2 linked regions of the Lonchura striata genome follow. The protein of the gene in region 1 purifies or fractionates together with the protein of each later gene. This does not show direct contact. Links are inferred from orthologs where the notes say so. Each region holds a gene or a part of one and is shown on either strand. Other genes may lie near its edges.

Region 1 (16,225 bases):
GACAAATATCGCTACCGCTACCCCAAGGGCGAGGTGAGCCCCGAAAATGCCCCCAAAAAATTGGGGGGCAGAGGTTTTGGGGACACCCCCTAAACCTTCAACGCAGTCCTACGAGGACCTGGTGCAGCGGCTGGAGCCGGTCATCATGGAGCTGGAGCGGCAGGAGAACGTTCTGGTCGTCTGCCACCAGGCTGTGATGCGCTGCCTGCTGGCCTACTTCCTGGACAAGAGCGCAGGTGACAGCCGGGGACAACCAGGGGACAGTTGGGGACAACCAGAGGACAGCTGGAGACAGCCAGGGGACAGCTGGGGACAGCCAGGGGACAGCTGGGGACAGCTGGGGAAAGTTGGGGACAGCTGGGGACAGCTGGGGACAGACAGGGGACAGCTGGGGACAGCTGAGGACAGCCAGGGGACAGCTGGGGACAGCTGGGGACAAACAGGGGACAGCTGGGGACAACTGGGGACAGCCAGGGGACAGCTGGGGACAACTGGGGACAGCCAGGGGACAGCTGGGGACAGCTGGGGACAAACAGGGGACAGCTGGGGACAACTGGGGACAAACAGGGGACAGCTGGGGACAACTGGGGACAGCTGGGGACAGCCGGGGACAGCCGGGGACAGCTGGGGACAACCAGGGGACAACCAGGGCACAGCTGGGGACAGCCAGGGGACAGCTGGGGACAGCTGGGGACAAACAGGGGACAGCTGGGGACAGCCAGGGGACAGCTGGGGACAACCAGGGGACAGCTGGGGACAGCTGGGGACAACTGGGGACAGCTGGGGACAGCCAGGGGACAGCTGGGGACAGCCAGAGGACAACTGGGGACAACTGGGGACAGCTGGGGACAGCCAGGGGACAGCTGGGGAAAGTTGGGGACAGCTGGGGACAACCAGGGGACAGCTGGGGACAACTGGGGACAGCTGGGAACAGCTGGGGACAGCTGGGGACAGCTGGGGACAGCCGGGGGACAGCTGGGGACAGCTGGGGACAGCTGGGGACAGCCGGGGACAGCTGGGGAAAGTTGGGGACAGCTGGGGACAACCAGAGGACAGCTGGGGACAGCCAGGGGACAGCTGGGGACAGCTGGGGACAACCAGAGGACAGCTGGGGACAGCTGGGGACAAGCAGGGGACAGCTGGAGACAGCCAGGGGACAGCTGGGGACAGCTGGGGACAGCCAGGGGACAGCTGGGGACAGCCAGGGGACAGCTGGGGACAGCTGGGGACAGCCAGGGGACAGCTGGGGACAGCCAGGGGACAGCTGGGGACAGCTGGGGACAACTGGGGACAGCTGGGGACAGCTGGGGAAAGTTGGGGACACACCTGGGGACAGCTGGGGACAGCTGGGGACAACCAGGGGACAACCAGGGGACAGCTGGGGACAACTGGGGACAGTTGGGGACAGCCAGGGGACAGCTGGGGACAACTGGGGACAAACAGGGGACAGCTGGGGACAGCTGGGGACAGCCATGGGACAGCTGGGGACAGCCAGGGGACAGCTGGGGACACCTGGGGACAACCAGGGGACAGTTGGGGACAGTTGGGGGACAGCTGGGGACAACCAGGGGACAGCTGGAGACAGCCAGGGGACAGCTGGGGACAACTGGGGACAGCTGGGGACAACGAGGGGACAGCTGGGGACAGCCAGGGACAGCTGGGGACATTTGGGGACAGCTGGGGACAGCCCAGAGCTGCAGTGGCCACCCGAGTTCCCTCAAACCCCTCCCCAGATGAGCTGCCCTACCTCAAGTGCCCCCTGCACACGGTGCTGAAGCTGACGCCCGTGGCCTACGGTGAGTGGGGTCACCCCAAAAAGGGATTGTTCCCCAAATCCACCCCAAAATGGGGACAATCCCCCCCAAAAAGGGATTGTTCCCCATGTCCCACCCCAAAATTGGGACAATCCCCCCCAAAAGAGATTGTTCCCCATGTCCCACCCCAAAATTGGGACAATCCCCCCAAAAAGAGATTGTTCCCCATGTCCCACCCCAAAATGGGGACAATCCCCCCAAAAAGGGACTGTTCCCCAAATCCACCCCAAATTTGGGGACAATCCCCCCAAAAAGGGATTGTTCCCCATGTCCCACCCCAAAATTGGGACAATCCCCCCAAAAAAATGATTGTTCCCCTGTGTCCCACCCCAAATTTGGGGACAAATTCCCCCAAAAAGGGACTGTTCCCCATGTCCCACCCCAAAATTGTGACAATCCCCCCAAAAAGAGATTGTTCCCCATGTCCCACCCCAAAATTGGGACAATCCCCCCAAAAAGGGACTGTTCCCCCTGTCCCACCCCAAATTTGGGACAATCCCCCCCAAAAAGGGACTGTTCCCCCTGTCCCACCCCAAATTTGGGGACAAACCCCCCAAAAAGGGACTGTTCCCCATGTCCTACCCCAAAATTGGGACAATCCCCCCAAAAAGTGATTGTTCCCCCTGTGTCCCACCCCAAAATTGGGACAAATCCCCCCAAAAACCGCTCCCTTCTTCCCCTGGAACAGGGTGTGAGGTCGAGCCCGTCTTCCTCAACATCGAGGCAGTGAACACCCACCGGGCACGACCCCAGGTCAGAGCCCCCATCCCCAAATCCACCCCAAAAAGTGGGTGCAGAGCACCTTAACCCCCCCAAATAACTGAGGGGAGTGTTAAATTGTGGGGAGATCCCCCCCAAAACCCCCCATTTCCACCCCACAGAACGTCGACATCAACCGCACCGCAGCCGATGCCCTCAACACCGTCCCCGAGCACTTCTGAGGGGTCCCTTGGGGGAAAAGGGGAGCCCCCACCCCAAAATTAAACCTTGGACAACCAAGCAGAGCCTGAAAATTTGGGGAGGGGGCTGCAAACCAACGGGCTGCCTTTATTTTTTTGGGGTGGGGTGGGGAAGGGGGTCAGGTTGTGGCTTTGTTGGCCTCGCTGTATTGGCTCGCCCAAAATTTGGGGTCTTTGCCCTGCATCTGAACGGGAGAAAAACAGGGGAGGGGGCATCAAATCGAGCCCCCCAAAAAAACTCAGAGATGCCCCCCACGAGCACGGCCTCACCTTGGCCACGAAGTTCAGCACGTCCTTCTTGGAGGTTTCCTTCTCTGCCCGTGGGCCCCACTGGTACTTGAATTCGGGGGGGTCCGTCAGGGGGATGGCGGTGGTCTCCAGGTACCTGCGGAGGGCTGGGTGGTTTTTGGGGTGCACAAAGGTTTTTTTTGGGTTTTTTTGGGGGTGTCCAGCATTGCCCTGACCCCGTGAGGAACCCTTGGAGCCACGGGGTGTGGGGGGCTGCGGGTTTTTGCTCTGCGGTGTGGTATAAACAGCCCGGCCGAGGCTGGCGCCGAGGCCGCTCTGGGCACACCGGGAAGGGACATGGGGGGACCCCCACGCTGCACCCCCAAATTCCAGCCCGCTCCCAACTCACTTCTGCCGCACAAACTCCTCCGTCACCAGCTTCCGGACGTCCCCGAAGACGCCGTGCTGCTTCCTAAGGAGGGGGGCTAGTGAGGGGTGGCACTGAGTAGCCCACCCACCCATTTCGGGGGTCCCCGGCCGGATCCTACCCGGGGTAGACACGGAGCAAGTGCAGGAATTCCCACAGAGCACCTGGAAAAACAAAAGGGGTGCAAAGTGAGCGGGGTGCAAGGGGAAAAAGTGGGGGACGGGGTGGGGGTTTTGGGGAGAACTCACTGTCTTTGACGGAGTTGCCCTTCATGAAGATGAAGCTGAGGATGACTAAGAGGAGCCCCATCTTCTCCTGCTCCTTGCCCCTGAGGCGCACACAGGGGTGGTCAGGCGGGTGGGATTGGTGGCCCTCCTAAAATTTGGGGACAAAGTGCCCCAAAAAGGGACTGTCCCCCCCCAGAAACCCTCCCCAAAATGGGGATCATTTCCCCCAAAAAGGAAATTCGTGGCCCTCCTAAAATTGGGGACAAAGTGCCCCAAAAAGGGACTGTTCCCCAAATCCACCCCAAATTTGGGGACAATCCCCCCAAAAAGGGACTGTTCCCCCTGTGTCTCGCCCAAAAATGGGGACAATCCCCCCAAAAAGGGACTGTTCCCCAAATCCACCCCAAATTTGGGGATGAACCCCCCAAAAAGGGACTGTTCCCCATGTCCCACCCCAGATTTGGGGACGAACCCCCCAAAAAGGGATTGTTCCCCCTGTCCCACCCCAAATTTGGGGACAATCCCCCCCAAAAAGGGACTGTTCCCCAAATCCACCCCAAATTTGGGGACAATCTCCCCAAAAAGGGACTGTTCCCCGTGTCAGCCCTGTGGGGCTGGAATCACCCAGGGGTGCACCCATGGGTGCTGCATCCCCTCACCTGCACAGGAGCTCGCCCTGGGCGCAGGGCAGGTTATTGATGAGGATGTAAATGTGGCGTTTGGCATCGATCTCCACCAGCTGCAGCCCAAAAACCTGCGGGAGGACAAGGATTAATCCAAAGGTTAATCCCCCCCAAAACCTTCCCCCTTTCCGTGCTGCCCCCACCTCCTGCAGGGTCCTGTCTGCCCTTTTAATGATTTCCGAGTAGGCATCCTTGTATTCCCGGATTATATTCTTCAGGATATCTATGGAAAACACACAGGGAACGCTGAGAGAGGTCGGAGCTCTGAGCCAGGAAGGATTTCGGGGTTTAAACACCGCGGAAACGCACCTGCCCTCTTGATAGGAATCTTCTTCTGGTCCTTGACGAGCAGGAACTGCACCAGCTCGCTCACCTGTGGGGACAAGGAGCAGGGAAGGGCGAGGGATGATAGCAAAAGGATGCAGAGAAAGGGACTGCGGGAGCAGAGGGGATCACCGCAATCCACCTTCTGGTTCAGCTGCTCCTGCGAGCGCCGCTCCACCTGCGTCGGGATGAAATCATCCTCCCCGTCGGGCAGCTGAGGGGAAACGACGGGAAAAGCGGGGCGAGGTGATGACAGAGAGCGGCAGCAGCCAAAAGAGCGAATGAGGGGAGAACGGGGGGTGTGGCGGGGCAGCCGCCTCTCACCTGAGAGCAGCCGAGCCCTTTGCTGCGCTTGCGCTGAGACATTCCTCACGGCAGCTCTGAGAGGAAAAAAGCACCGGATGGGTTAAAACAGCCACCAGAGCACTCCTGAGGCCGCCCCGCGCGTTCCACCCTCAGCAGGGCCGCAAAAAAGAAAAAAAAAATCCATCCAAGGCCCGGACAACGACGCGGCCGGGACGAGAACCGTCCCCCACCGCGCTCCGCCCGCGACCGCGCCGGCCCCGCCCACACCCGCCGGTCCCGCCCACGCCAGTGCCGCTTCCCATTGGTCCAGCCGCCGCACGCCCCGCCTACCATCCCAACCCCGCGTCGCGATTGGTCGAGAGCCCGAGTTCGCCCCGCCCTCCCCCCGGCGCGCGCCGGGCGAGACTCGCGCTCTTCCCCCCCCCCCGCACCAACCTGAGGGGGGCGAAAAAGGCGGGAAAAGAGCGGCGCGCGCGGGCCCCGCCCCCTTCCCCTCACGGCGGCGAAAATGGCGGGAAAAGAGCGGTAAAAAGGTTATAAAATTAATAACTTAATTATAGCGACAAATAATTAGAGTTAGGACAGCTGCAAGCCGATAAAAAACAGAGATTTACTGTTTTTATAACCATTATGTTGTTATTATTAAACTTTGTTTGCTGGGGGGGGTTGGGGTCCCCACCCTGTGAAAAATGTGAATTTTATGATTGGTTTTTCGCAAATATTGAAATGAATATTACACGCGTAATCAATTCTCTTCAGGAGCGCATTAAATATATTTTCAGGTTTGTAAAACCACCGATCACTTGGTTTATAAAATTTAAAAACTTAATAGTAAAACGCTTGTTAAAAAATACAATTATTTGCTTTTTAGCATCTTGGAATCGCTGTAACTGTAAGTATTTTATTACTGTAATTGCATTACTATTTTTATAGTATTTTTATGTATTTTTAATTTATATTTACTATTTTTATAGCCATTTTATTCTTATTAGATTTATAAAAATTTAAAAATTTTTCACAGGGTTTTTCCTTATTTCTGCAACTCCGTTTTTGGGGGTTTCTCTTTGATTTCTGGGGGGATTGGGATCCCCCTGTGAAAAATGTGAATTTTATGATTGGTTTTTTGCAAATATTAAAATGAATATTACACGAGTAATTAATTCTCTTCAGGAGCGCATTAAATATGTTTTCAGGTTTATAAAACCTCCAATCACTTGGTTTTTAAAAATTTAAAAGCTTAATAATGAAGCGCTTATTAAAAAAGACAATCATTTGCTTTTTATCATCTGGTAATTGCCCTAACTCTAAGTATTTTATTAGTGTAATTGCATTACTATTTTTATAGTATTTTTATATATTTTTAATTTCTATTTACTATTTTCATAGCCATTTTATTACTGTTAGATTTATGAAATTTTAAAGATTTTTCACAGGGTGTTTCCTTATCTCCGCAACTTCGTTTTTGGGGTTTCTCTTTGATTTCTGGGGGTGTTGGGAATAAATAAATTGAATTTGTGCCCCCGCCTTTGTCTCTGATTTGGGTTGGATTTGGGGGCCTCAAGGAGGGTTTAATGAATTGTAGTTAATTTTAAATAATTTTAATTGATTTTAACTAGCTTTAATGAATTTTAAATAATTTAAAATATTTTAATGAATTTTAAATATTTTTAAATAATTTTAAATAATTTGAAGTTATTTTAATGAATTTTAAATCGTTTTAATTGGCTTATATGAATTGTAATTAATTTTACATTACTTTAATAAATTTTAATTAATTTTAAATAATTTTAATTAATTTTATATAGTTTTAATGAATTTTAAATAATTTAAAATATTTTTAATTATTTTAAAATAATTTTAATTAATTTTTCATAATTTTAAATATTTTTAATTAATTTTATCCAGTTTTAATTAATTTTAATTAAGTTTTAATAACTTTGATTAATTTTAAATAACCTTAATTAATTTAAAATAATTTTAAATATTTAAAATTTTTTAAAATAAGTTTAATTAATTTTAATTAACTTTAATTAATTTTAAATAACTTTAATTAATTTTAAATAATTTAAAATATTTTTATTTAGCTTTAAATAGTTTTAATTAATTTTAAATAATCTTAAATATTTTTAATTATTTTAAAATAATTTTAATTAATTTTAAAGTTTTCATTAATTTAAAATAATTTAATTTTTTAAAATTAATATTAAATAATTTTAACTAATTTTAAATAGCTTAAACTAATTTTAATTAACTTTAATACATTTTAAATATTTTTAATTTATTCTAAACAGTTTAAATGAATTTTAAATGATTTTAAACATTTTCAATTAATTTCAAATAATTCTAATTAATTTTAAATCATTTCAATCGATTCTAATCACTTTCCTGTCTCTGCCCCTTTAAGCCAACCCCACCCTCCAGGCCACGCCCACTTCCGGGTTGGCAGCGTCCCGTTGCCGTGGCAACCGCGCGCCTTTCCTGGCCGGAAGTGACGCGCCGGAAGCGGAAGAGGCGCCATGAAGCTGCTGACCCACAACCTGCTGAGCTCCCACGTGCCGGGGCTGCGGCCCGGGGGCGGCTTCCCCCTGAGGATCGAGGTACGGGGGGCTCCCGTTATCCCCGTTCCGCTATCCCAGTCCCCGTTATCCCGGTTCCTTCCCGTTATCCCAGTCCCGTTATCCCATTCCCCGTTATCCCAGTCCCCGTTATCCCAGTTCCCGTTATCCCATTCCCCGTTATCCCAGTCCCGTTATCCCAGTCCCGTTATGCCATTCCCCGTTATCCCATTCCCCGTTATCCCCTTCCCGTTATCCCAGTCTCGTTATCCCATTCCCCGTTATCCCAGTCCCGTTATCCCATTCCCCGTTATCCCAGTCCCGTTATCCCCGTTCCGCTATCCCAGTCCCCGTTATCCCGGTTCCTTCCCGTTATCCTAGTCCCGTTATCCCGTTCCGTTATCCCCTCCCGTTATCCCGGTTCCTTCCCGTTATCCCGTTCCGTTATCCCAGTCCCCGTTATCCCGGTTCCTTCCCGTTATCCCAGTCCCGTTATCCCAGTTCCGTTATCCCAGTCCCCGTTATCCCATTCCCGTTATCCCATTCCCCGTTATCCCAGTCCCGTTATCCCAGTCCTGTTATCCCAGTCCCCGTTATCTCATCCCCGTTATCCCAGTCCTGTTATCCCAGTCCCCGTTACCCCATTCCCGTTATCCCAGTCCCGTTATCCCAGTCCCGTTATCCCAGTCCCCGTTATCCCAGTTCCCGTTACCCCAGTCCCGTTATCCCAGTCCCCGTTATCCCAGTCCCGTTATCCCAGTCCCCGTTATCCCAGTTCCCGTTACCCCAGTCCCCGTTATCCCACTTCCGTTAATCCCTAATGAACCCTGTTAACCCCTAATTAACCCCTAATGAACCCTGTTAACCCCTAATTAACCCCTAATGAACCCCATTAACCCCTAATGAGCCTCGTTAACTCCTAATTAACCCCTAATGAACCCCATTAACCCCTAATGAGCCCCGTTAACCCCTAATTAACCCCTAATGAACCCCGTTAACCCCTAATGAGCCCCGTTAACCCCTAATTAACCCCTAATTAACCCTGTTAACCCCTGATGAGCCCCGTTAACCCCTAATTAACCCCTAACGAGCCCGTTCAGCCCGTGGTTGCCCGCAGGCCGCCGAGGTGCGGGAGCGCCCGGTGCCGTTCAACGCCGCCTTCGTGTCCCGCCTGGTGCCGCGGCTGCGCTGGGACGCGCTGAGGGAGGCGGCCGAGAGCGTGAGCGGAACGGGAACGGCGGGGATAACGGGAGTGACGGGAGTGACAACGGGAATGACGGGAGTGACAACGGGAGTGACAACGGGAGTGACAGGGATACCGGGAGTGACGGGGATAACGGGGATAACGGGAGTGACGGGAGTGACAACGGGAGTGACGGGAATGACAATGGGAATGACGGGAGTGACGGGAGTGACAACGGGAGTGACAACGGGAGTGACAGGAATGACAACGGGAATGACGGGAGTGACGGGGATACCGGGAGTGACGGGAATGACGGGAGTGACAACGGGAGTGACGGGGATGACAATGGGAATGACGGGAGTGACTGGAGTGACAACGGGAGTGACGGGAGTGACGGGAATAACGGGAGTGACGGGGATAACGGGAGTGACAGGGATAACGGGAGTGACAGGGATAACGGGAGTGACAGGAATGACAATGGGAATGACGGGAGTGACAACGGGAGTGACAGGAGTGACAACGGGAGTGACAACGGGAGTGACAGGGATACCGGGAGTGACGGGGATAACGGGAGTGACGGGAGTGACAACGGGAGTGATGGGAATGATGGGGATAACGGGAGAGATGGGAATGACGGGAGTGACGGGAATGATGGGAGTGACGGGGATAACGGGAGTGACGGGGATGACGGGGATAACGGGAGTGACGGGGATAACGGGAGAGATGGGAATGACGGGAGTGATGGGAAAGGGGAATGACGGGAATGGGGAATGGGAACGGGAATAACGGGAATGGGGAACGGGGAAACGAGAAGGGGAATGGGAATGGGAATGGGAACGGGAAATGGGGAACGGGAATAACGGGAATGGGAACGGGGACAGGAATAACGGGAACGGGAATAATGGGAATGGGAAAGGGGATGGGAATAACGGGGACGGGGAACGGGAATGTGGAACGAGAACAGGAACCAGGGAATGGGAACGGAAATGGGAATGGGAAACAGGAACGGGGAAATGGGAACCTGGGAATGGGGAACGGGAACGGGAAAGGGAAATGGGAACCGGGAATGGGAACGGGAATGGGGAATGGGAAACAGGAACGGGGAAATGGGAACCTGGGAACGGGAACGGGAATGGGGAATGGGAATGGGGAATCATGGGAACGGGGATAACGGGAACTGGGAATGGGAATGGGGAATGGGAAACGGGAACTGGGAAAGGGAACGAGAATGGGGAACAGGAACCGGGAACGGGAATGGGGAATGGGAACGGAAACTGGGAACGGGAATGGGGAATGGGAACGGGAAGGGGGAACGGTGAACGGGAACAGGGAACGGGAATAACGGATCAGGGAATGGGAACGGGAACTGGGCAACAGGAATGGGGAACGGGGAATGGGGAATGGGAACGGGGGAACGGGGGAACGGGAACGGGAAACAAGAATGGGAATGGGAAATGGGGAATGGGAATGGGAACAGGAACGGGGATGGGGAATGGGAATGGGAACAGGAACGGGGATGGGGAATGGGAACAGGGAATGGGAACAGGGATGGGAACGGGAACTGGGGGGGATTTTGGGGGGATTTGGGACAGTTTTGAGGTCTGGGGAGATTTGGGGGGGATTTGAGGGTGATTTTAGGGGGGATTTGGGGGTGATTTTAGGGGGGATTTGGGGGTTATTTTGGGGGGATTTGGGGGCAATTTTGGAGGTCTGGGGGGGATTTTGGGGCTGTTTTTGGGATCTGGAAGTGAATTTTGGTTTCTGGGATGGAATTTTGGGTTCTGGATGGGGATTTTGGGGCTCTGGGGGTTCCCCTCTGACCCCTCCCCACTTTTTACCCCCCTAAAGTTGGGGCGCCCCTCGGAGCTGCCCCCCGAGCCCACCCCCGGCTACGAGGCCGACGAGGAATTCCTGCGCCGCCTCCACCACATCCTGCTCGAGGTCAGCAACCCCAAAAAAACCCTTTTTGGGGGAAGGGGGGTTCCCAAATTTTGGGGACCCCCCCGTGACCCCCAGATTTCCCCCCAACCGCAGGTGGAGGTGCTGGAGGGGTCCCTGCAGTGCCCGGACTCGGGGCGGCGCTTCCCCATCTCCAGGGGGGTCCCAAATCTGCTCCTGACCGAGGACGAAGCCTGAGGGGGGAGTTGGGACCCCCAAATCCACTTGGGGGGGTCCCCAAAATTTGGCTGAGCCCCTCCCCCCAAGGCTGGATCGGCGGGAAAACCCCGAATTCCCACGGTTTTACCCCAAAAACGGGGCTGGAATTTCAGCGATGTTGAAGCGGTGATGGGCGTGGTTCGAGCCTCCTCATTTGCATATTGGGCGTGACTCCTCCCTTTATGCAAATTAGGAATTAGCTTATTTGCATTTTGAGCGGGAATTGTTTTATTTGCATAACGGGAGAGGAATTTTCCCTTTTTTTTTTCCCTCCCAAATTCTCTTTTCTTCTCTCTAAATTTCTTCTTCCTTCCCAAACTTCCCAGTTTTGCCCTAAATTCTTTTATTTTCTTGGAATGTCGCCGTTATTTTTTCCCCAAATCCTTCTTTTTATCCCCAAATCCTCTGACCTTACCCTCAGATTCCTCTCCTTTGTCCCGCTCCCCTCCCTTGTCCCCCAAAATCCGGATTTCACCCCAAAAACTCAACTTTTTGCCTTCTTTTTTTAATATTTTCCCATCAAATCCTTTTTTGTGCCCTAACCCCCTTTTTTTTACCCATACCTTTCCTTTCTCTTCCTTGTTTTTCCCAAAATCCCATCTCTTTCCCCCATGTTCTACCGTGTTGGATTTGTAATTTTCCCCATCAATTTAATAAAAACCAATTTTAATTTTGGGTTTTTTTGCCCGATATTGAGCCAAAATCGCCTCTTTTGCTCTCTTGGAGGAGAATCCTTTGGGATGGAGGGAACGGGGCGGGGGCAGGAGGGAATTTTGGGACAATGGGGAATCCTCAGGGGTGACTCGGAGCCGCTGTTTGGGAATTTGGGAATCCCTATAAAAACCGAATTTTCCCTATAAAAACTGAAATTTTCCCTATAAAAACTGAAATTTTCCCTATAAAAACCGAATTCTCCCTATAAAAACCGAATTTTCCCTATAAAAACCGAATTTTCCCTATAAAAACTGAAATTTTCCCTATAAAAACCGAATTCTCCCTATAAAAACCGAATTTTCCCTATAAAAACCTAATTTTCCCTATAAAAAATCCGAATTTTCCCTATAAAAAATCCGAATTTTCCCTATAAAAACCTAGTTTTCCCTATAAAAACCAAATTTTCCCTATAAAAAAATACGAATTTTCCCTATAAAAACTGAATTTTCCCTATAAAAACCGCTTGTGCCAGGATGGGCGTGTGGGCATAGGGGAAAACCTCTCCTGAGGCTGATTTATTATTGCACACCCCAGGGCTCTGTTCTCTCCTTGTGGCTGGCTGGGTACAACTGGATGGCAAAATAAACATTTTATCATTTTAAATTTGGCCGGACACATTTTCATTTATAACAAAAACCTCTGCTGAGGCTGATTTATTATTGCACACCCCGGGCTCGGCTCTGTCCTTTCCTGGGGGCTGGCTAGGTAGAATCTGACCGCAGATAAACTGATTTTTATTTTGAATAAACTCATTTATAACGCCCCGGAAGTCCGGCTCGTCTCTATGGTCCGGGAGCGCCGCGCGGAAGTGACGCAGGGCCCGCGCGGGCGCCGCCGGAAGTGACGTCAGCGCGCAGCGGCTGAGGCGGGAGCGGCGCTCGGAGCGGCCCGAGGGGACGGTGAGGGGGGGACCGGGAGGGGACAAAGGGGACACGGAGGGGACAAAGGGGACACGGAGGGCACCGGGAGGGGCGGAAAGGGCCGGGAGGGGAGGAAGGGGAGGGGCGAGTCTGTGAGGGGAGGGAGGGCCGGGGGCGGCCCCTCAGTGTCGCCCCGGTGTCCCCTTAGTGTCACCTCAGTGTCCCTTCAGTGCCACCTCAGTGTCCCCTCAGTGTCACCCCAGTGCGATCTCAGTGTCCCCTCACAGTCCTCTCAGTGTCCCCTCAGTGTCCCCTCAGTGCCATCTCAGTGTCACCTTAGTGCCACCTCAGTGTCCCCTCATTGTCTCCTTAGTGCCACCTTAGTGTCCCCTCAATGTCCTCCCAGTGTCCCCAAAGTGTGCCGTCATTGTCCCCTCAGTGTTCTCTCATTGTCCCCTCATTGCCCCTTAGTGCCACCTCAGTGTCCCCTCAGTGTCCCCTCACTGTCCCCTCATTGTCCCCTCACTGTCCCCACAGTGTCCCCTGTGTTCCCTCAGTGTCCCCTCATTGTCTCCTTAGTGCCACCTTAGTGTCCCCTCATTGTCTCCTCAGTGCCACCTCAGTGTCCCCTCATTGTCTCCTTAGTGCCACCTTAGTGTCCCCTCACTGTCCCCTCACTGTCCCCTCAGTGTCCCCTCAGTGCCATCTCCGTGCTCCCTCAGTGCCAACTCACTGTCCCCTCAGTGCCATCTCCGTGCTCCCTCATTGTCCCCTCACTGTCCCCTCAGTGTCCCCTCATTGCCCCCCATTGTCCCCTCACTGTCCCCTCAGTCTCCCCTTAATGCCACCTCATTGTCCCCTCATTGTCTCCTCAGTGCCACCTCAGTGTCCCCTCACTGTCCCCTCGGTGTCCCCTCACTGTCCCCCCAGTGTTCCCTCATTGTCCCCTCAGTGCCACCTCAGTGTCCCCTCAATGTCCTCTCAATGTCCCCCCAGTGTCCCCAAAGTGTGCCGTCATTGTCCCCTCAGTGTTCTCTCATTGTCCCCTCATTGCCCCTTAGTGCCACCTCAGTGTCACCTCAGTGCCACCTCAGTGTCCCCTCAGTGCCATCTCAATGTCCCCTCACAGTCCTCTCAGTGTCCCCTCAGTGCCACCTCAGTGTCCCCTCATTGTCTCCTTAGTGCCACCTTAGTGTCCCCTCACTGTCCCCTCACTGTCCCCTCAGTGCCACCTCAGTGTCCCCTCAGTGCCATCTCCGTGCTCCCTCAGTGCCAACTCACTGCCCCCTTAGTGCCACCTCAGTGTCTCCTCATTGTCCCCTCACTGTCCCCTCAGTCTCCCCTTAGTGCCACCTCACTGTCCCCTCAATGCCGTCTCATTGTCCCCTCACTGTCCCCTCAGTGTCCCCTCATTGCCCCCCATTGTCCCCTCACTGTCCCCTCAGTCTCCCCTTAATGCCACCTCATTGTCCCCTCATTGTCTCCTCAGTGCCACCTCAGTGTCCCCTCACTGTCCCCTCGCTGTCCCCTCACTGTCCCCCCAGTGTTACCTCATTGTCCCCTCAGTGTCACCTCAGTGTCCCCTCACTGTCCCCTCACTGTCCCCTCAATGTCCCCTCAATGTCCCCCCAGTGTCCCCAAAGTGTGCCGTCATTGTCCCCTCAGTGTTCTCTCATTGTCCCCTCATTGCCCCTTAGTGCCACCTCAGTGTCCCCCCAGTGTCCCCTTAGTGCCACCTCACTGTCCCCTCATTTTCCCCTCACTGTCCCCTCAGCATCCCCTCAGTGTCCCCTGAGCTGTCCCCGTGTCCCCTTGATGTCCCCTGAGCTGTCGCCATGTCCCCTCCATGTCCCCTGTCCAGTCCCCGTGTCCCCTCTGTGTTCCCTTTGTGTCCCCTGTCAGTCCCCATGTCCCCTCAATGTCCTCTGAGTGTCCCCTGGGTGTCCCCTGAGCGTCTCTGGTGTCCCCGTGTCCCCTCAATGTCCCCTGAGTGTCCCCGGTGTCCCCTGAGTGTCCCTTCCATGTCCCCCGAGCTGTCCTCGTGTCTCCTGTCCAGTCCCTGTGTCCCCTGAGCTGTCCCTGTGTCCCCTCAGTGTCCCTGAGTGTCCCCTCCATGTCCCCTGAGTGTCCCTGTGTCTCCTGAGCGTCCCCATGTCCTGGTGTCCCCATGTCCTGGTGTCCCCATGTCCCTGAGTGTCCCCATGTCCCCTGAGCATCCCCATGTCCTGGTGTCCGCTCCATGTCCCCTGAGTGTCCCTGTGTCCCCTGAGCTGTCCCCTGAGTGTCCCCATGTCCCAGTGTCCCCATGTCCCCTGAGTGTCCCCGTGTCCCCTGAGCGTCCCCATGTCCTGGTGTCCCCATGTCCTGGTGTCCCCATGTCCCTGAGTGTCCCTGTGTCCCCTGAGCTGTCCCCTGAGTGTCCCCATGTCCCAGTGTCCCCTCCATGTCCCCTGAGCTGTCCCCATGTCCCCTGAGCATCCCCATGTCCTGGTGTCCGCTCCATGTCCCCTGAGTGTCCCCATATCCCTGAGCGTCCCTATGTCCCTGAGTGTCCCCTCAATGTCCCCTTAATGTCCCCATGTCCCCTGAGTGTCCCCATGTCCTGGTGTCCCCTCCGTGTCCCCTGAGTGTCCCTGTGTCCCCTGAGCTGTCCCCTGAGTGTCCCCATGTCCCCTGAGTGTCCCCATGTCCCTATGTCCCCTCGATGTCCCCTGAGTGTCCCGTGTCCCCTGAGCTGTCCCTATGTCCCTGAGTGTCCCCATGTCCCCTCGATGTCCCCTGAGTGTCCCCGTGTCCCCTCCGTGTCCCCTGAGTGTCCCGTGTCCCCAGGCGCCATGTCCTCGACGTCACAGAAGCACCGGGACTTCGTGGCGGAGCCGATGGGGGAGAAGCCGGTGGGGAGCCTGGCCGGCATCGGGGACGTGCTGGGCAGGAAGCTGGAGGAGAAGGGCTTCGACAAGGTGGGCTGGGACCCTGGGGACACTGGGGACACTGGGGACACTGGGGGACACCTGGGGACACTGAGGGACATTGAGGACAGCAGGGGACACCTGGGGATATCAGGGGACACCTGGGGGAGGATTGGAGACATCTGGGACAGTGAGGGACGTTGGGGACAGTGAGGGACACTGGGGACACTTTGGGACTCCTGGGGACACCTGGAGACACTTTGAGACACCTGGGGACATTTTGGGACACCTGGAGACACTTTGAGACACCTGGGGACACTTTGGGACACCTGGAGACACTTTGGGACACCTGGGGACACTGAGGGACATTGAGGACAGCAGGGGACATCTGGGGATATCAGGGGACACCTGGGGGGGATTGGAGACACCTGGGACAGTGAGGGACACCTGGGGACATTGGGGACACCTGGGGACACTTTGGGACACCTGGGGACATTGGGGATACTTCGGGACACCTGGGGACAGCAGGGACACTGAGGGACATTGGGGACACCTGGGGACATTGGGGACACTTTGGGACACTGAGGGACATTGGGGACAGCAGGGAACGGGTTTGGACAAGTGGGGACACTGAGGAAGGGCTCGGGGACATTTGGGGACAGCCTTGGGGACAATCGGGGGTGATGTGGGGACAAGGGGAGGTGGCATGGGAAATCACGGAGTGAGGGGGGTGTGGGGACAACAGGGATGGTGTCGCTGTCACCAGGGGGGTTTGGGGACACAGGGAGGGTGACGGTGACCCTTGGCATTGTCCCCTCGGGTGCTGGGACAGCTCTGGGGTCTCTGGTGGCCACAGGGTTGGGGTGGCACCGGAGCTCT
Region 2 (16,686 bases), on another chromosome or scaffold:
AATCCTAGTACTGCTGGAAAAATCTTTAGAGTTGTAGGAAGAAAGGACAAGGAAGGAATAGGAAAACCTTCCCTATTTACATAAGGAGTTTTCTTACCTCACTTTCCAAAATCTGTAGTTCAGGTTATCAATCCCTCTAGTTCTCAATCAGCATGAGATAGGCTACTCTCCATAAATGACAAGCTTCTCAGGCTGTTCTTAAATTTCCTCACTTGCCCTTTTTGAGAGGATTCTTGTCAGCTGGTAATTGTTTGTGTTTGGCTTAGGACAAGCATCAAATATAGATAGTCCTTTGGAAGTGAATTATATGGCTCTCACGCCCCGATATTATAGCAACTAGGGCTGTGTGTACACAAGCTTCAGGATAATTTTTAAGCCAATCTCCCAGTTGTTTTGTTCATTTCCAGTCCCACACTTCACTGCACTTGTATCTCTTTGACTGAAGATGCCATAAAATTTAAGATGGGAGACACTAACAGAAGCCTGTAGATGATGGTAATGTGAGATATGAAGTGTGTCAGGCTTACTCATAGAGCCTTTAGAGAGACGACAGCTAAGGGAAGCAGCCAGTATGCCCATTTAATTCATCCATTTATTGAAGCAAAGAATTTTGCCAGAAAATACTTTGTCTACATATAAATTAAGAGCATTTAATGGTATAATACTTTAATTTAAATAATTCTGGTGGATATTTCTGCATAGAAAGAATAAAATAAAGTGGTGTAGACATGAGTTTCAAATACTATAGACTAGCAATACCTACTTTTTTCTCTTAATAAAATTGAACAAACTCGAATATGCTGCAACTGTGTTCTAATCATCACCAAGATGTGTACCAACCATATTATGTCTGTGTGAAAAATATTTGCATTTATAAAAGAAAAATTTTAACTAAATTTTGAACAAGGAAAAAAATGATTTAAAAAAATCTCTTATTTTCATTAATCTTCTGCCATTAATTAGATGCATACTCTGAATATATGTGCTACACTTCATGCAAAGATTATGAAGTTTTTCACCAACAATGATTCATGAGGATTCACAACCCCTGGTGATATGGGTAAATATTTAAGTAAATGTCATACAGATCAGCAAACTGACTCACAGACAAGTGGTGTTTGTAAAAGAAAAATCACAAAATTGGGATGCATCTTCTTTCTTTTTTCTTCTTTTGCCTATTCAGCTTAAAAGCTTACAATTCCTGTTTCCCTGATATGTCAAGTGTGCACATAGATCCAAAGAAGTAATGAAAACTAGATTACAAGAGCAGCAAATGGGGTGACCATTAGAAAATTTTAACTTATGGTTGAACAGCTGTTCTTATAAAGAAAGTAAACTTGTTGCATGAGCAACAGCTAATGAGTTCTCCTGACATGATGACTGAAAGGAGATGGAAGAATGGAGTCCCAGTCCAAGGAATACATTGCAATATTCTCTCCAGTCAGTGGGGGCACCAAGGATCTCACGATGGAAATGTAACATTTAGTTCTCTTATGTAAACAGCACTATGTCTTTAAAAATTAACTTCACAGATAGTGTCCAAACTGCCAGCACTACAACCTTAAAATTGTATTGATTGCTCAAGTAGACAAGAGTCAGAGCCTGATACTCCATGATTGTCCTTGTGATACATTTATGCCCTGAAGTTATAACTGTGAGAAACTATGTTTTCCAAGGATATGCAGGACAGCAGACTGCCTGCCTAGTATAGCTATCAGGGAGGATCCCTGTGCAAGGTCGCATTGCTTCCCAAATGCCTAACAAATCCTAATTATTTGTGACAGAACTGAGTTTTCCCAGGTTACTGTAAGATTTTGACTGTATGGCCAGAAGAGTATAGTTATATAGTTCAAATAGCATTTTTAAAAAATTATATTTCCTATTTGTTTAATGTAAAACAGGCATAAAGAGCCAGAAGAGAATGTAAAGTACATGCAGACTTTGAAGGGATGACAATTTTTAGTATGCATGTCAGAGAAAACAAATATTTTGTGAGACTCATTTCTAACAACATTGCTTTCAAAGCTAAACTACACCATGTGTTGATGGGTTGAGTGATTTAGAGGGAAATCAATATTTTGTATGGTTCTTTCAGTATTCCATCTTACTTTTATGACACCCCAGAAAGTGTACTAAACTGGTAAATAATCTCACCTAAACTTTGCCTGAACTGCGGAGAAAGAGTCACAGCAGCAGTGAAAGCAACAATCCTATTCAGCTGAGAATTATCATCTTTTCTTTAAAGCTTGCATGGCATTGGAAGGATTTAAAGCCCTAAGTCACCAAGACTGTTTATGCCAAAAGGAAGTAAAAACTGAGGACAAAACAATTTCATGCAATGTATGGTTTGCTGAGTACTGGTGCATGTGGGACTTTGAAGTCTGAGGACCATTCACTGAGAAGTTTTATTTGAGCAGAAAAAGCTGGCAGGAGCTTCCCCGGGAATTTCTGAATTAAATTCATGGATATTATGCTTTCCAGTAGTTATGTTTAGGGAATTTACATTTCTTGGGGTCTTTCTTAATGAAATCAAGAAATTATCTATTTTTTTACATGTATGTCCACATGTTGCAGGAACCTCTCAAGAGCTGATTCTTTGCACTGGTAGTACATATAATGAAGTATCTTCAGACTTGAAGCAGGCACATCATAACTACAGTAATTTCTGTCTTATGCCTGAAAGTTCACAGGAATTTTCTGAAGACTCACCAGAAAAGGATCAAAGATTTTCTGTTTGTCGAGGCTTACAGATTGTGCTCCCACTTCAAGTGCAATATTAATGGTCACCCAGCAGTGTAGGCATTCTTTTGCAGTGTGTCTGAGAACAGAAGCTAAAGCTGTTCCTCCCTGCATTTAATAAACAGCCTTGAACTTCATTAGTGCAATCTCATGGCATAGCAGAAGTCTTCAGTTTAGCTAACCCCTGTCCAATCCTAAACATTCACTGACTGGTTTGGTTCTGTAGATGACAAGTTCTGTAGCTGTCCCAGTAGAGAACTGGAATCACGCTGCTCAGAAAAAGCTGTGTCATCATGCTAAAGAAGCTTGCTCCACAAGAGGATCACAACAGGTAACAGTGAAAGTGAACCTGACAATAATCATGTATCTGTGCCAGAAATGCAGTGTTGCCAAATATTACAGTTTTACTGTGAGATTTGTGCTATTTAGTGTATTTCCTGAAGTTACAATACACTGAGTATTGAAATTTTAGGAAAAGTGCAGCTTTTTTTATTAAAGGAAAGGGGAAGAAAAGTACTATAAAATCTTACATTTGTGGAAGAAAAGCTTGAAAAAGTTTGGAGATATTAACAGAATGTAGGCTAAAGCTTAGAAACCAGAAAGCATATTGATACTACTTGACATTTTAAGTCCCTTTAGAATACAAGCATTTTCATCATTAGCATTTGAATATCCCACTGCTTTTAAGAGGACCCAGTCTTCTCATGACTCTTTCAGTCTTATGCAATTGCTAACAAACTTCTAAAAGTTGTTTTTTTCTGACTGTTTTTCTTTTTCAGAAAGAAATAGTAAATCTAACATTGAACAGCACAAACACAGAATAAAAATGACATGCAGCACAGAGCCAGCCTTGCCTTCGTCCTGAAAAATATAAACTCTTGGCATTGCAAAGGTTTGTAATGGAGACTTTTATTATCTCAAGCAGCAGCAGTTGCACATTTTGAATTTAGGTCAACACATATTTGTCCAAGTGCTGAATTATTACATTAATGCTATCCTAAAACAATTTATCTTGTGTCTCATCCTTTATTACAGTACTTCTCTACAGGAGTAGTCATGGGTGATTTTGAGCTAGATTTAGTGCTAAAGAGGTTTCTTCTTATTTCTGTAACAAAATGCTATCCTGAAATATATCCTATTTGTCATGATTCTTAAACTGCAGTTTCTTATACCAAGAGATTTGATACAGAAAATCCTATCTTCTTGAGATTCCCTTTTAATTGGGTTTGAAATTAATGGAAATCCAGTGTGATCACATTAGGCTACAGCATGGTTTGCTATAAAAAGGAGTAAGATTATCTTTCCACCTACGGACCAGTAACCTCTTGTTTGTTGAAGGAAATAGAAGTGTTTACTTGTTATCCTATGAAGTTGATTCCCAGGGACTGACAAACACCTTGATTTTCCCTGGGAATGTGGCCAAGATAAAATAGCTAACAGCATAGCAAATAGTGTAATTTGTTCCTGAGAAAAGTCAGTAGGATTTTACTTTTCACCTATGACTAAATGGGAGCATGATATTCTGCTTTAGAAAACATCTTTCCTCTTTATGAATTAAAAAAATAGAGCAGAGCCAAGATTTTCTGATAAAAACCTTATTTTTTCTTAAGAAAACTATTAAGATTTAATATCAAACTAGAATATTTGCTGACATATAAACCAAAATATTAAAATTATACAAAAGGGATTTTTGAAAAGAAATAGTGAGTTTTCTACTAACACACTTTAAGTCAGAGATTTTATTAACATCTATATTGAAGGTGAATTTATTTGAATCCCCACTTCGGTGAACTCTTTTGTGGGTTAGTCAGTGATAATGTTGTTAATGGAGATGTATTTTTACTTGTCAATAAGTGGTATCTGTAGGAGGAGCCTGTACCCATCTAGCAGCAGAGGAGAATGAACAGTGCTTCTGGCCTTAAATCATGAAGGGCATAACAGTTCTGGTTTGAAATATGCTTGTATTAAACCCCTAACCAGCCTTTAACTGTTTTCCTTTTAAATGGTGGAAATTTCCTATGTAAGAATGTTGTTTATAGAAGAAAAATATTGATGCATTATCAGAGGAAATGCTATTGCAATACGCATGAAAAATTCTTGACCACTGCTAATCATACAGAGATACTAAAAAAAAAAAAAAAGAACTTCACAGTCAGTTTGTTATCTCCCAGAGAATGCACATAGACATGCATATAGAATGGAGAGTGCACAGAACCTAGAATGTGAACACTTAAGAGAAACAACCTTTGGGCAGGTATTTTCCACTTGTCAGAACAAATTGGTAATGAATTATAAACTGGTATCATTAGCATCATCCTTTCAGCAGCTTTCAGGGTTGGGTGGTTTCCAGGGCTGAGAGCCTCAGAGAATCGTTTAATAGAGACAGCAGCTGTTGATGCAGCCTGGTTCTTTCTCCATTCATTCTGGCTACCAAGAAGAGCAGGTGATGCTAAGGCTTAGTGTTCACAAAGGTTAAAAAGCTCTATGCTGTACAAGAGTATTCATATATTTGCTGCCTACTGGGTAGGCAGTACTTTAATTATAAGAAAACTTAGGCAGAATATCTGTGCTATCACAACACTTTGCTATCCACTGTGTGGGTCAAGGACAGAAGGTGACTGTGGTGGAGGAAAAGAAGTGGAACCACCACTTCTAACCAAGTAATTCCTACCTTCCAAATATTACAGGCTGGTGGATATGCCCTGTCAGCTTCACATGCTTAGTGCACTTGTACCTTCTGTACATGGAACAACTGTGTCCTTGGCACACGGCATGGTATACATTCCAAAGGAAAGAGAAATGAATTTTTTGTTGTTGTTTCTTGGTTGGTTGGATTTTTTATTGTTTTCTTCTGGGTAAGCACAGCCATAGGTAGATTCCTCCAGAGTGGGCATCTGGGAAAAGCTTGAGGAGCTGGCTTCAATCTACAGGTTTACAGGCTCATCAGTCATACCTTACATAACACCTGCCTGGGAATCCCACACATCATTGATGCTGAGAAAGATTACATATTCACAGGAGGCTGAGGGAGGAAAAGTAAACAGAGAGAGACAAAAAAAGAGTTAGGCTTCAGGTAATAAGATGCAGTGAGAAGTAGAATATTTGTCAGGTAAACAAAAGGTAGGCAATCTCAAATTCCAGCATTTTGGATAAATAAGGGAGAAAAGTTATGTCTAGGAGCATAGTATGCAGCTTGGTTAGCCTGTGAAGAAAAATGAAACAAAGGCTTACACACTGTATCTTTGATTTAAGGGACCATTTTCTCCACAGGGAATCAGAGAGGTGTTAAGATGCTTCCTTTCAGTGAGGCAGGCCTCTCACTAGCGTGGGTTCATTCCACAGCCTTAGGGTGGTTGCTGGCCAGGCCAAGAGCGGTGCAGAATATTTACATACAACCATGGGCTTGGTCTTCCCATGGCCTTGTCTGGACTGGCATGGTTTTATCTTCCTCTGTCTTGAGTGCTGCATTGTGCCAAAGGTAACATGATCAGTGCTGGTTGTGATGGTGGCTTGTCCAGGGGATGGTCTCTTCTGGTGAGCGCCTGAGCCTGGGAGAAGCCATGATGCTGTCTTTAAGCCATCCTGGCCTGGTGGAAGCTGTCTTTAACTTGCCATGTGGATGTGGCTTCCCCCATCTGGTTTTGGATCCCCTGTGCTGGGGGAGGCTTCAATGGATAAATGAATGCAGGTTTGGGGCTGAAGGATGATGTCCCACTGCACATAGGGCTAAAGCATTGCACTTGTGAGGACTCAGAGGGAGACTCTGGATGGAGAGCAGGTTGGTAAAGACCTGGCACTACTTGGAGAAAATGTGGCACAGGGAGGACCTGCTGGCAAGTGGAGTCAGGAAGCATGGAGTGAGCAGGAACAGGGGGTGGCACAGTGACAGTAAGTGTGTGTCCATGGAAGGTGGTTGTAGGGGGCCGCTCTCCTCCTTCCCCTTGCCACACAGACTGCCCTGGATCCATCCAGCATAGATGTCCCTCTCCCCAGGACACGGCTGTGTGCCGCAGGAGAGTCCTGGCCGGGTCATTGGGAAATCTTGGCCCATAGAATTGGCTGCTGCCAAAGAATCAGAGAGCTAGTCAGGTTGGGAAAGACCTTTGGAGATCATGAATCCAACATTTGACCTAGCACCACCACGTCAAATAGGCCGTGGCATTAAGTGCCACGACCAGTCTTTTCCTAAACATCTCCAGGGATGGTGACTCTACCACCTCCCTGGGCAGTCTATTCCAAGGTCTAATCAGTCTTTCCATTAAGAACTGCCTCCTAATGTCCAACCTGAACCTCCTGCAGCTTAAGACTACATCCTGTTGTTCTGTCACTTGTTACCTGGGAGAAGAGGCCGACCCCACCTGGCCACATCCTCCTTTCGGGCAGCTGCAGAGAGCAGTGAGGTCCCCCCGAGCCTCCTGTTCTCCAGGCTGACCCCCCCAGCTCCCTCAGCTGCTCCTCACAGCCCTTGTGCTCCAGCCCCTTCCCCAGCCCCGCTGCCCCTCTCTGGACACGCTCCAGCCCCTCAATGTCTTTCTTGCAGTGAGGGGCCCAGAACGGAGCCCAGGGTTGGAGGTGTGGCCTCAGCAGTGCTGAGTGCAGGGGGACGGTCACTGCCCTGCTCCTGCTGGCACAGCAGTGCTGATCAGGCCAGGGTGCCATCGGCCTCCTTGGACACCTGGGCACACCCTGGGGCACGTTCAGCTGCTCTTGACCAGCACAGCCAGGTCCTTCCCAGTCACTCTTCCCCTGGCCTGTGGTGCTGCGACTTACTGTGACCCCAGTGCAGGACCTAGCACTTGCCTTGCTGAACCTCAAAGCTTGGCTTCCCTGACCTGTAATAAAGCCACAGCCGCCTGCAGCCGCCAAACGCCGCCGGGACTCCGCGGGCAGCGGGGCGGTGCCATGCCGGCGGGGCGGTGCCGCGCTGTGCCCGCCCCGACATGGCCGCTTCCTGCAGGTAACGCGCCCGCCGCGCCGGGCTGCGGCGGGGCCGGGCAGCCGCGGGGGCGCAGGCGGCCTCCGCCGCTGGCTCCGCTCCGCCGCTGGCTCCCCTCCCGTCCCCGCCGTGCCGCCTGTGCGGGGAGCAGAGCCCGCGGCTCTGTCTCCGGCCATGTCAGGAGGGGGCCAAGGCCAAATCCGTCCCTACGTCTGCCGCAAAGCTTTTGTGGCCTCCCCCGTGTGTCCTCGGGGCAGAGCAGAGGGGACGCTGCTGTGAAGGTGGTGAGGCCTGGAACAAGTTGCGCAGGGAGGCTGTGGGTGCCCCAGTCCTGGCAGTGTTCAAAGCTTTGAGAATCCTGGTCTGGTAGGACGCGCCCCTGCCCATGACACGGGGTTTGGACTGGGTGATATTTAAGGTCTATTCAAACCCTTCACATTGTGTGGTTCTATGGCACGCTCCTGTGGTTGTTCCTGTTGTCATTGTTTCCGGGGTGTCGGTGGGAGCTTTGGTGCTGGCTGTCCCTGGCAGAGGCGGGATGGGGCAGCCACAGGGACAGGCTGGTGCTTGGCTGTGCTGGTGCCTTCAGGCGCGTTTGGTCCTTGCTGGAGCTCTTAAATCTCACCTTCGTGCCTCCTGAATGTGTTTTATTCCCCCCAGATGTCTGTGTTAATGCTGCGTCCTTATACGTTTGTTGTGGCGTGTCTGCGGCGCAAAAGCAAGCCGAAAGTGAGTAACAAAGAGCCCAGCTCATCCCTGATCGTGGCGCTCCCTCTGCCGACAGCCGCCGCTCAGCTCCGCCCGGCCGCCAGGTACTCCAGGTTTCAGAAGCTGCTTCTACAGCAAGTAAGCTTTGTGCATTGCATTAAAGCTTTACATTAACCTCTGTAGTAACTTCAGGCCAGTTTTGTAACGTGCGTGTACCCATAGCTCCTATTGCAAGGGGAAACCGTTTTCAGTCTGTATTTTCAGGAGCTACTTTTAAAAATACTCGTTGTAAAACTTGGTGGTAACAGTAATGAATTCAACAGTGGATTAACTCTTTTTATTCTGTAGTCATATTGGCCTTTCTAAAGAAGGTGTGAGATCCTAGCAAATTAAGTTTCCTACTTCTGTACAGTTGAGTGCGTTTCCTTCATTCAGAAACAGGGCAGACTTGGTTCCTGTGCCTGCCGAATTGAGCCACTGGTAATGACGCAACAGACAAGACACAGAGTTTAGACACGGTTCAGAAGGAGACCAAGGGAATATCCTGCTGTCTCAGCTATGCAGGTATTACTGCTTAAGATGCCTTCAGAAGCTGGTGGCCCCAGAGTGATGCTGGCAAGCATGACACAGTACATCAGGAAGGTCTTCAGCTTCTTGAGCAGCAGAAGAGCTGAGTGTTGTGGGATAGGTCATCTCTGCCAGTGTTATGTGCTATTTAGACAGCTGAGTCACACCTCAGCTGTCCCTTGTTCGGGGGTTATGAAAGGATAAAAAGTAGTCTTTCAGTTTCTGTGCTAGTTTAACAAATATTGTGGCATGACTTCTTTGCCTTTGCCTGGAGAATGTGGGTATTTGTGAAGACCTGACTTAAGGCCTGACTAAACTCAAAACTGTTTTCCCCAAATATCAGATGAAGTCTTCCAGTATGTGGAGGTGTAGCTGTTATGGGAGAGGCCTGACCCTTTCAGTTTGAAGTTTTGCAGGCTGCATGACAGTGGTCTGACTGGTATGGGTGATGTGCATAGTGTCCATGCTTTTCCATCAAAATCCAATTTGCTGGGTTCCAAAGTATTAACCTGTCCTGTATTTTTGCTCTTTCTGTAAACTAACCAAGTCAAAGATGTGTCATTTTCCTGTGGAGTAGTTTGGGACTGCCTGACACTCTCCAAAGAGGAACCTGCTCAGGTGTAGGCTGTAAAGATGTAGGCCTTTTTTATCTGTGTGTGGCAAATAAGGTGGGACAGGCCAAGCCTTTTGGACCCAGTTATATAGATGGTGATGATTAGGGACATAGGGTTTAGTAGTGGACTTGGCAGTTCTGGATTAACAGTTGGACTCAACCTTACAGGTCTTTTTTAACCTAAATGATTTTGTGATTCTATGGAGTCTTATAATTGCACAGCTTGGTCATAGTAGGTTTGCTGAAGGAGCCTGCAAATCAGCTGAACCTTGGTAAGGGTAATCCATTAGATGCACTGATGCACTTAGGAGAATTTATTTCATAAAACTTTCTGTGCTTCTTTTCATGAGGCTTTTATTTTTCCCCTCTAAGTTACCTTGGCTTCTAATTATCTTATGCTATTGGGTGTTGGATTTTTTTGTTTCGTTGGGTTTGTTTTTTTTTGTTTGTTTGTTTGGTTGTTTTTTTTTTGTGTCTCCCACTTTGCTTTCTTTTTTTGGTTTAAGCAAGTTTGAGATTTTTTTTTTGGTCATTATTTAACTAATGAAAGGTAAGAGAAGCATTGCTCTCTGTGTATTTAACACTGTTTGTTGATTAAGTGAAGAATCTTACTTTGAACTGTTTTGTCTTTAGAAGGAAGAATGTTGTTTTCAAATAACCATCTGTGGCCTGTTTTCAAATGTGCCATCAGGAAGGGAAAACGATTATTTAAGAAGGTACCAAGAATTTGAGGAAGGGAAGGGAAAAAATCAGAGTATAAAATACGCAAAAAGCCCCTAATGAGCACTGTTGCTTTAAAGGGAAAATGGCAGACATTTCCTACAAATCTGTAATAAAACTAATTATGCAGAGATCAAGATTGATTCCATAACTTATTGATATTTTCAGCCTCTACACTTCATTTTTGAAGTCATGTGGGGTTAATTATTGTAGTAGTCTTCTCCTTTTTCTGCCCTGTTTCAGTTTTGGTGCTTGTGAGATTTTTGTCTTATGCATTTTGTCTCTGTTGCTTGTGAGCATGGTTGTGATTTTAGGAGATCCTAGGAAATGTGAATTGTCTAATGGTGGTAGTATGGATTTTGGCGCTGAGTAGTTTATTAAGTGGTTTTTATGGTTGGTTTTTTTTCCCCTTTGGTCAGACACAGATATAAATGTGATCGTTATGTGGTCAGATGTGTAAAAACTTGAAGAACGCCAGGAAGTCAGGGTTCAAACTGTTAAGGCCTTGCATGTGCCACCTCAAACTTGTTAGCAGGCATCTGAAACTATATCAGGAGAAAATTGTTGATGCTCACCATGCCAGTAACTTGCCATGTTTGCTTAAAAGTGTTGTTGACAAGGGTTTCAATTCATTTAAGGCCCCTGTAACATTGTGTTTGAGAATGGAACAGGAATGGTAGGAGGATTAACTAGTAAGTGGAAAGGAAGGGAAAAAGACTTAGTCTTCTTTGACAGCATTGATCCTGCTCCTTTTTGGAGCATTAGAATTTTTCATTTCCACAGAGTGCTTTTGTCAATCTGATTCTCTTTAAAGATTATTTTTGTGCAGTGCAGTTAAAAGTTGTGCAGGTTGATGATGGTAATGCTGCAGCAATCACAGGGAGTACATACTTACAGCTCCTGTGCAACACTTCAATCTCTTATAACAATTTTACTAGCATATCAGTGCTTGTTTAAAACAAAATTTTTGCTAAGTTATTCAACACAAAGTTCCTGCAAATACTAATATGAGGGGTTTTTTATCTTTACCATTTTTTGTAGTACATTGTCATATTATCATGGTTGTGTCTGCAGTTTAGGTATTGGGAAGGAGCTCTGCAGTCATGCAAGCCAGAAGGCATGTAAGTGGATGAGTGACTGTTGGGGCAGTTGACAATGTTAAATAGTAACATAGAGGGGTGATTGATCTAGTTTGTTTTTGGTTTGGTTTTTTTTTTTTTTCCCTTAAAAATAGCTGAAACAAAACCATTTTTTGACAGGAAGAGAAGATGAAAGGATTGTTGTCAGGTCAGTGCTGATAAAAGAATGGAATAGGACAGACAGCTGCAGTTGGATTGTCCAGCTATACTGTTAGGAGGATTTTTGGCAAAGAAGTACCTCTAAGATAAAGGTAAGGGATTATGTTACAGGGAGAGATAAAGTCAAACTGCATCAATGTCTGGGAGCTTTGTCATAATCTTACATGAGATCTGGACTCCTCCCTTGGATTTGAAGGAAGTAGAAAAAAGAAAGGAAAAGAATATAGGCTTAAATAAATGAGGGAAGGTACTGCATGATCTCAGTGTAGTGTTAGACCAAAAGTTGGCAAAAGATGCAGCAAAACCTGAAGAATGTCATTGACCTGTAAGTATTCACTGGTTGGTAAATGCTGTGTTGCTATGAAATGCAGTAGTTAATACATATATATATATATATATATATACAATTTTCTGTTCCTTCGCACAACAGGAATGTGATTTTCATTAAGTTTGGGAGATGTGGTAAATGATGTGTGGAGCATCCTAATTGCTTGCTCTAGGACATTTAAGTATTGCACACATTTTTCTATGCTCAAGAAAGGCAAGTTTGGCCAAATGTCACACTTGGGTGCAATTAGGTAAAAGGTGTCACACATTTAATCTCTGACTCAAGCTTTTGGTAAGGCATGAGAATAACTGAGAAGCTGAGACAATGTGAATCTCAGGCAGTTCCGCACATAATTTTTTTCTCATGTTCTGTTCAAGTGAAGAGGAAGAGAAAAATGGGAAAATGAAATAAAGCATCATAGCAATCTTTTAAAGATTTATTTCTGGGAGAGATCCTTTTCAGGCAGGACACTCACTACGTGTTGTTATTTTTGCTTTCCAGAACACCAGTATGGAAGCTAAAACCAGTGAAGATCATTTGGAAGTCCAGAAAATGAAGAAGAAGGTATTGAGGAAGCAGGTCAGAGCTCAGCATACATTGATGAGACATGAGGGCATACAGTGTGTCTCCCGTGCCACACAGGTAGTTGCGATTTTGATGGTAATGTTAAAATGCTGCTTATCTGTGTTCTCTTCTCTCATGTGTCTTATGTAAAATGCAGTTTTTAAAAAGGGACTTCCCAAGATTAAGGGTTTTCTGTGCTTCTTTGATTTCAAAGCAGAATGGTACTTGAGCAGTTTGGGGTCTATGGAGAGACTTTGGCCTTTGGATAATGTTTTTTTTAACCTGAAACAGTAGTTACTTGGATTGAGGAGGAAGAGGAAGCCTTGGAAATGCTATTGAAATAGATACACTTTTCTTCTCTTTTTCTGTGGTTTCTTTTTTTTTCTCTCAGGCTTTTAACTTTTGTACCATTCTATCCTCCATGGTTCTCTGTCAAGTGTAATTTGTCTCATCTATGCTCCCCATTAAAAGCATGTCTGTCTTGAATATCTTTTCCATCTTTTTTTCCTCTAAACAAATTAAGGCTGTGGTTCTGTGGGAATTGAGCTGGTTGGCTGACTTGCAGCTGTTTAAATAGGCACAGCTTTCTCTTTCCATGCAGTAAAGAGACCTAGTAGAAAGCTACTTGGATTTTTTGATTTGTAGTGTTCTGCCACAGTAGAGTTACAGCAGATCAGAGGATTACCTTGCAGATACTGATATAGCAAAATGTGACAGGAACTTGCAGACAGAAAGGGAAGTAAGGGTTTCTAATTTCCCTCTCTCATTTATGAAGAAATATAAATGGCTTGAAACACTGTAGAGCAGTATCATTTACCGTATGCTTGTTCATCCTGATCCTGCAAATTCTTCCCATTCAAATATGGAAGCATCAGTTAGATCTTTATACATTTTTTTAATGTGGTTTAATTTTTTCTCCAATTTCAAACCACATGGACGGATGTTAATGACTCGGCAATCTTGTTTATGTTGTAAACTCTTTAGAACAAAGAGTGTGTTTTTCTATTGTTGCTTAGAAATGGGTCTGTAATTTGGGACTTGTTCCCCTTGAAACTGTCCCAGGTACCAAATTATCTATCTAATCTCTCCAAAGAATAATTCTGGGGTCCAGCAAGGTCCTTATTGGTGACAGAACACTTGAATAAGTGATGCATAAAACAAAATCATAATGCTAGTGGTAAACTTGTGTCAGGAATATAGAAAATACTTCCAGGCTTGTGCAAGAGTCCATCTATGAATTACATCATCAGTTGCTGCATGTGCTCCAGCAGATGTGTAGTGGGATCTTTGTAGATTAAGTGAAAGGAGCAGCTTGAACCTATGCATGTCCTTCACACACATAGGACTCTCCATCAATAACATTCCAGATAATAGCAGTAATTAATAATGAGGTAAACCTTGAAAAATATGATCCATAACAGAAAGCCTGATGCAGAGCTTAGAACAGATGTTATCAGAGCCTCAGAGCCTTCACAATAGGCATAATCACAGCAGTGGTCAGTGTATAATTTTTTTAAATGACCCTCCTCTTTGGTTCTAAACCTCATTTTCTGTGGTTTTTTTTTTTGTTTGTTTGTTTTGTTTGTTTGGTTGTTTTTTTTTTTTAAGAGAAGCAAAATGCTGTTGTTTGAATTAATTGAACACTTTTCCCATTCCCAGCTGTTCCAGAAACCACCAAAATTATGTGCCAATGCCACTGTTTGTGACAAGCATACTACAAGCACACATGGCACTTGAAAGCATGCATTAACTGAGGAGGTGTTTCTGATAAAGGTTGCAAGGCTTTCAGCCACACCATGTGCTGGGCAAGCAAAGCTCATGGAAATGTAGATATCTTGTGCAGAATACATAAGAGTGCTCATGGGTTTAATTTTTCTTTATAGTGCTGATAACTACAGCCACTTTCTCTTGGTAAAATGTTAGTTTTAAATGAACCAACGATAATCACTAATTCTTTGTTTGTTTTTGTTTTTAAATTATTTTTCAATTAGAGCCTGGTTATTGCCAATGCTGGTCTTGGTAATGGGATGAGTAGACAGCAATTGCTCAGAATACTAGAAGAATATGGAGCAATGGAAACACTCTTAATGCCACCAAATAAACCATATTCATTTGTGAAATACAGGACAACAGAAGAAGCCAAAAAAGCCTTTAACACCCTTAATGGAAAGGAAGTAACACTGGAAGACTGTGGCCAAAACATTATTCTATACATTAATTTTGTGGAAAAAGGTACAGTTTTTCTGCTCTCCTATATATCCAGCTCCATGCATACTGCTCCCCTTTGTTTTTACTTTCTGAGTTGTAAATATAGGTAAAAGCACACTCGTTCTTGTATGTAGACACAGAGAATGAAAGCTAGAATCTGAGATTCAGGACATAAAATAATCTTTGCTCCTTGTATTCCTGGTCAGGATACTCTAATTTCAGCTCTATTACTTGGAAGGAAAAGGGAAAAAAAGATTTGAGTGATTTTCTGACCATTCAATGCTGCACATGAAGGTTTTGTGATCTAGAAGCCTGGAGACTCTCTGGACAGTTCATTGAATTTCTTGTGTGACCTGCAATCTCTGTCTCAGCCCCAAGAAAAAATATACACAATGAAATTTCTGTCCTTTTTTCCCCCCTTCCCCTCAAATTTTTTTTGTGTTTGGCTGATTATAAGCTATTTACTGCAAGAACTGTTGCTCTTTCTGTGAGCTTTCATAAAGCCTAGCAAAAAGGGTTCCTGGTCTTGGTCTGTATGTTCTGCTAGCAAATAGCTTTTTTTTAAGCTCTCAGGGTAGCAAACTGAATGTCCCAACATCAATGATGTTTTACTTTCTGATACATATTGTTCTGTACTCCATATTTGTTCATATTTGGTTACAGAGAACTCTCTGTCTGGAGAAGCAATCTGCTGATATGGTAAATCACTAAAATTCCACAAAATTAAAATGAAATTCAGTGAAGTGGTTAGGAAATTATGTTTATCATTATTTTTACAGGAAAACCACGAGCAGTTTTATGTTTGAATAGTAAAGTCTTGTTCCTCTTATTCAGTAAAATTTTAGAAAGCACTTCAATGATGCAAAACTCGGGCCTTACTCTGTTTTGTCGTGACAAAAAGAGATCGTTCTTTCACCAAATAAGACCACAATGAGTGCTCCATTGTATTATTAAACATTTCTATGGCTGTACTATATTCTTACACAAAGTAATTATATCTCCATCGGGAACACAGGCTTTATTTTCTCTAAAGAGTGACAAAATCCTCTTTTTTTTCTTATACATCAGTTTCCTTGCAAAATGCTGCTCCTGCAAGCTTGCCTCCAGGCTTAATGGTAATTGAAAAGATTATTTCTCCAGAGGAAGAAAAGAGATTGTTGGAAAGTATTGACTGGAAAGGAGATGAAGATACTCAGAATGGTGGGTACAACTATAGGAATCCAGACATTCTATACTTTTATGCTGTTCCTGCAGTTTCAGGTTACAGGAAGTGTACATCTTGGGAAATGTATTGTCAGAAATTATTCTGTGGCTGCTCTTAGCATTTTAGAAATTGGGTCTTATACTGCAAATAATCAGTTCCTTGGGGCAAGTGATCTGAATTAATATCCTAGAATGGATTTGTTGAATAACAAACCTGCATCCAGAGACAATTAAAGTATTCTTATGTGTTTCATGCCAAGCAGAAGACTGTTTGTAATTTGATGTCCAACTGAAGAGCTGTGTCTTCTTTTATTAAAAAAAAAAAAAAAAAAACAAAAAACAAAAAAAAAACCTTGGTGAGGCATACAGTCTGGATGCTTTCACTTAAACTTGTGGAGTTAAATCCTTCAATAAATAAATTCTTGGAAATGACTTCAGAGTTCCTGTGTAAATTTGTTCCGTGGAGCAATGCAAAAGGTTATGCTGACCTTAGCTAATGTGTAACTTGGTGATTAATGAGAATGATGGATCTTGATGTATTATCTGTAGGATATTCATCAGGTGTAAATTCAGAGATCAGGGCAAGAAAAAGATGCATTAAGCATGGCTGAAATAAATTGGTATTTCCTGCTTCTTGCATATACAAAAACACCATCCCTTTGACTCAGAATGTGATCCTTGATAAATTACAAAAGGTAATAAGCAGAAGTGTGTGCATGAAGAGTGAGGGTCACATATACTGTTGTAACTGCTAATTAAAGAATGTTTAGGCTTAACAGGTAGGATGGAATAGGGAAACATG

What was found.
Region 2: the proteins of TRMT112 (region 1) and ALKBH8 purify together in Homo sapiens (co-immunoprecipitation; 3 studies listed by IntAct, with this or other methods). This does not show direct contact. The link is inferred for Lonchura striata from reciprocal best matches to the Homo sapiens genes TRMT112 and ALKBH8.

The regions. Positions count from the first base shown.
Region 1 is NC_134638.1:1,906,975-1,923,199, forward strand, and holds TRMT112 (multifunctional methyltransferase subunit TRM112-like protein), read left to right. Parts: upstream 1-7,393; 5' UTR 7,394-7,484; coding exon 7,485-7,565; intron 7,566-8,640; coding exon 8,641-8,742; intron 8,743-10,554; coding exon 10,555-10,647; intron 10,648-10,740; coding exon 10,741-10,842; 3' UTR 10,843-11,538; downstream 11,539-16,225. Other genes in the region: non-structural maintenance of chromosomes element 3 homolog, read right to left, coding at 2,893-2,958, 3,044-3,158, 3,411-3,473, 3,550-3,592, 3,677-3,756, 4,315-4,409, 4,482-4,561, 4,648-4,711 and 2 more; BANF1 (barrier-to-autointegration factor), read left to right, coding at 15,272-15,397. UniProt on the Homo sapiens protein: Acts as an activator of both rRNA/tRNA and protein methyltransferases. Together with methyltransferase BUD23, methylates the N(7) position of a guanine in 18S rRNA.
Region 2 is NC_134604.1:44,217,850-44,234,535, reverse strand, and holds the start of ALKBH8 (tRNA (carboxymethyluridine(34)-5-O)-methyltransferase ALKBH8), read left to right. Parts: upstream 1-7,667; 5' UTR 7,668-7,696; intron 7,697-8,335; coding exon 8,336-8,521; intron 8,522-12,410; coding exon 12,411-12,551; intron 12,552-14,464; coding exon 14,465-14,705; intron 14,706-15,749; coding exon 15,750-15,881; intron 15,882-16,686.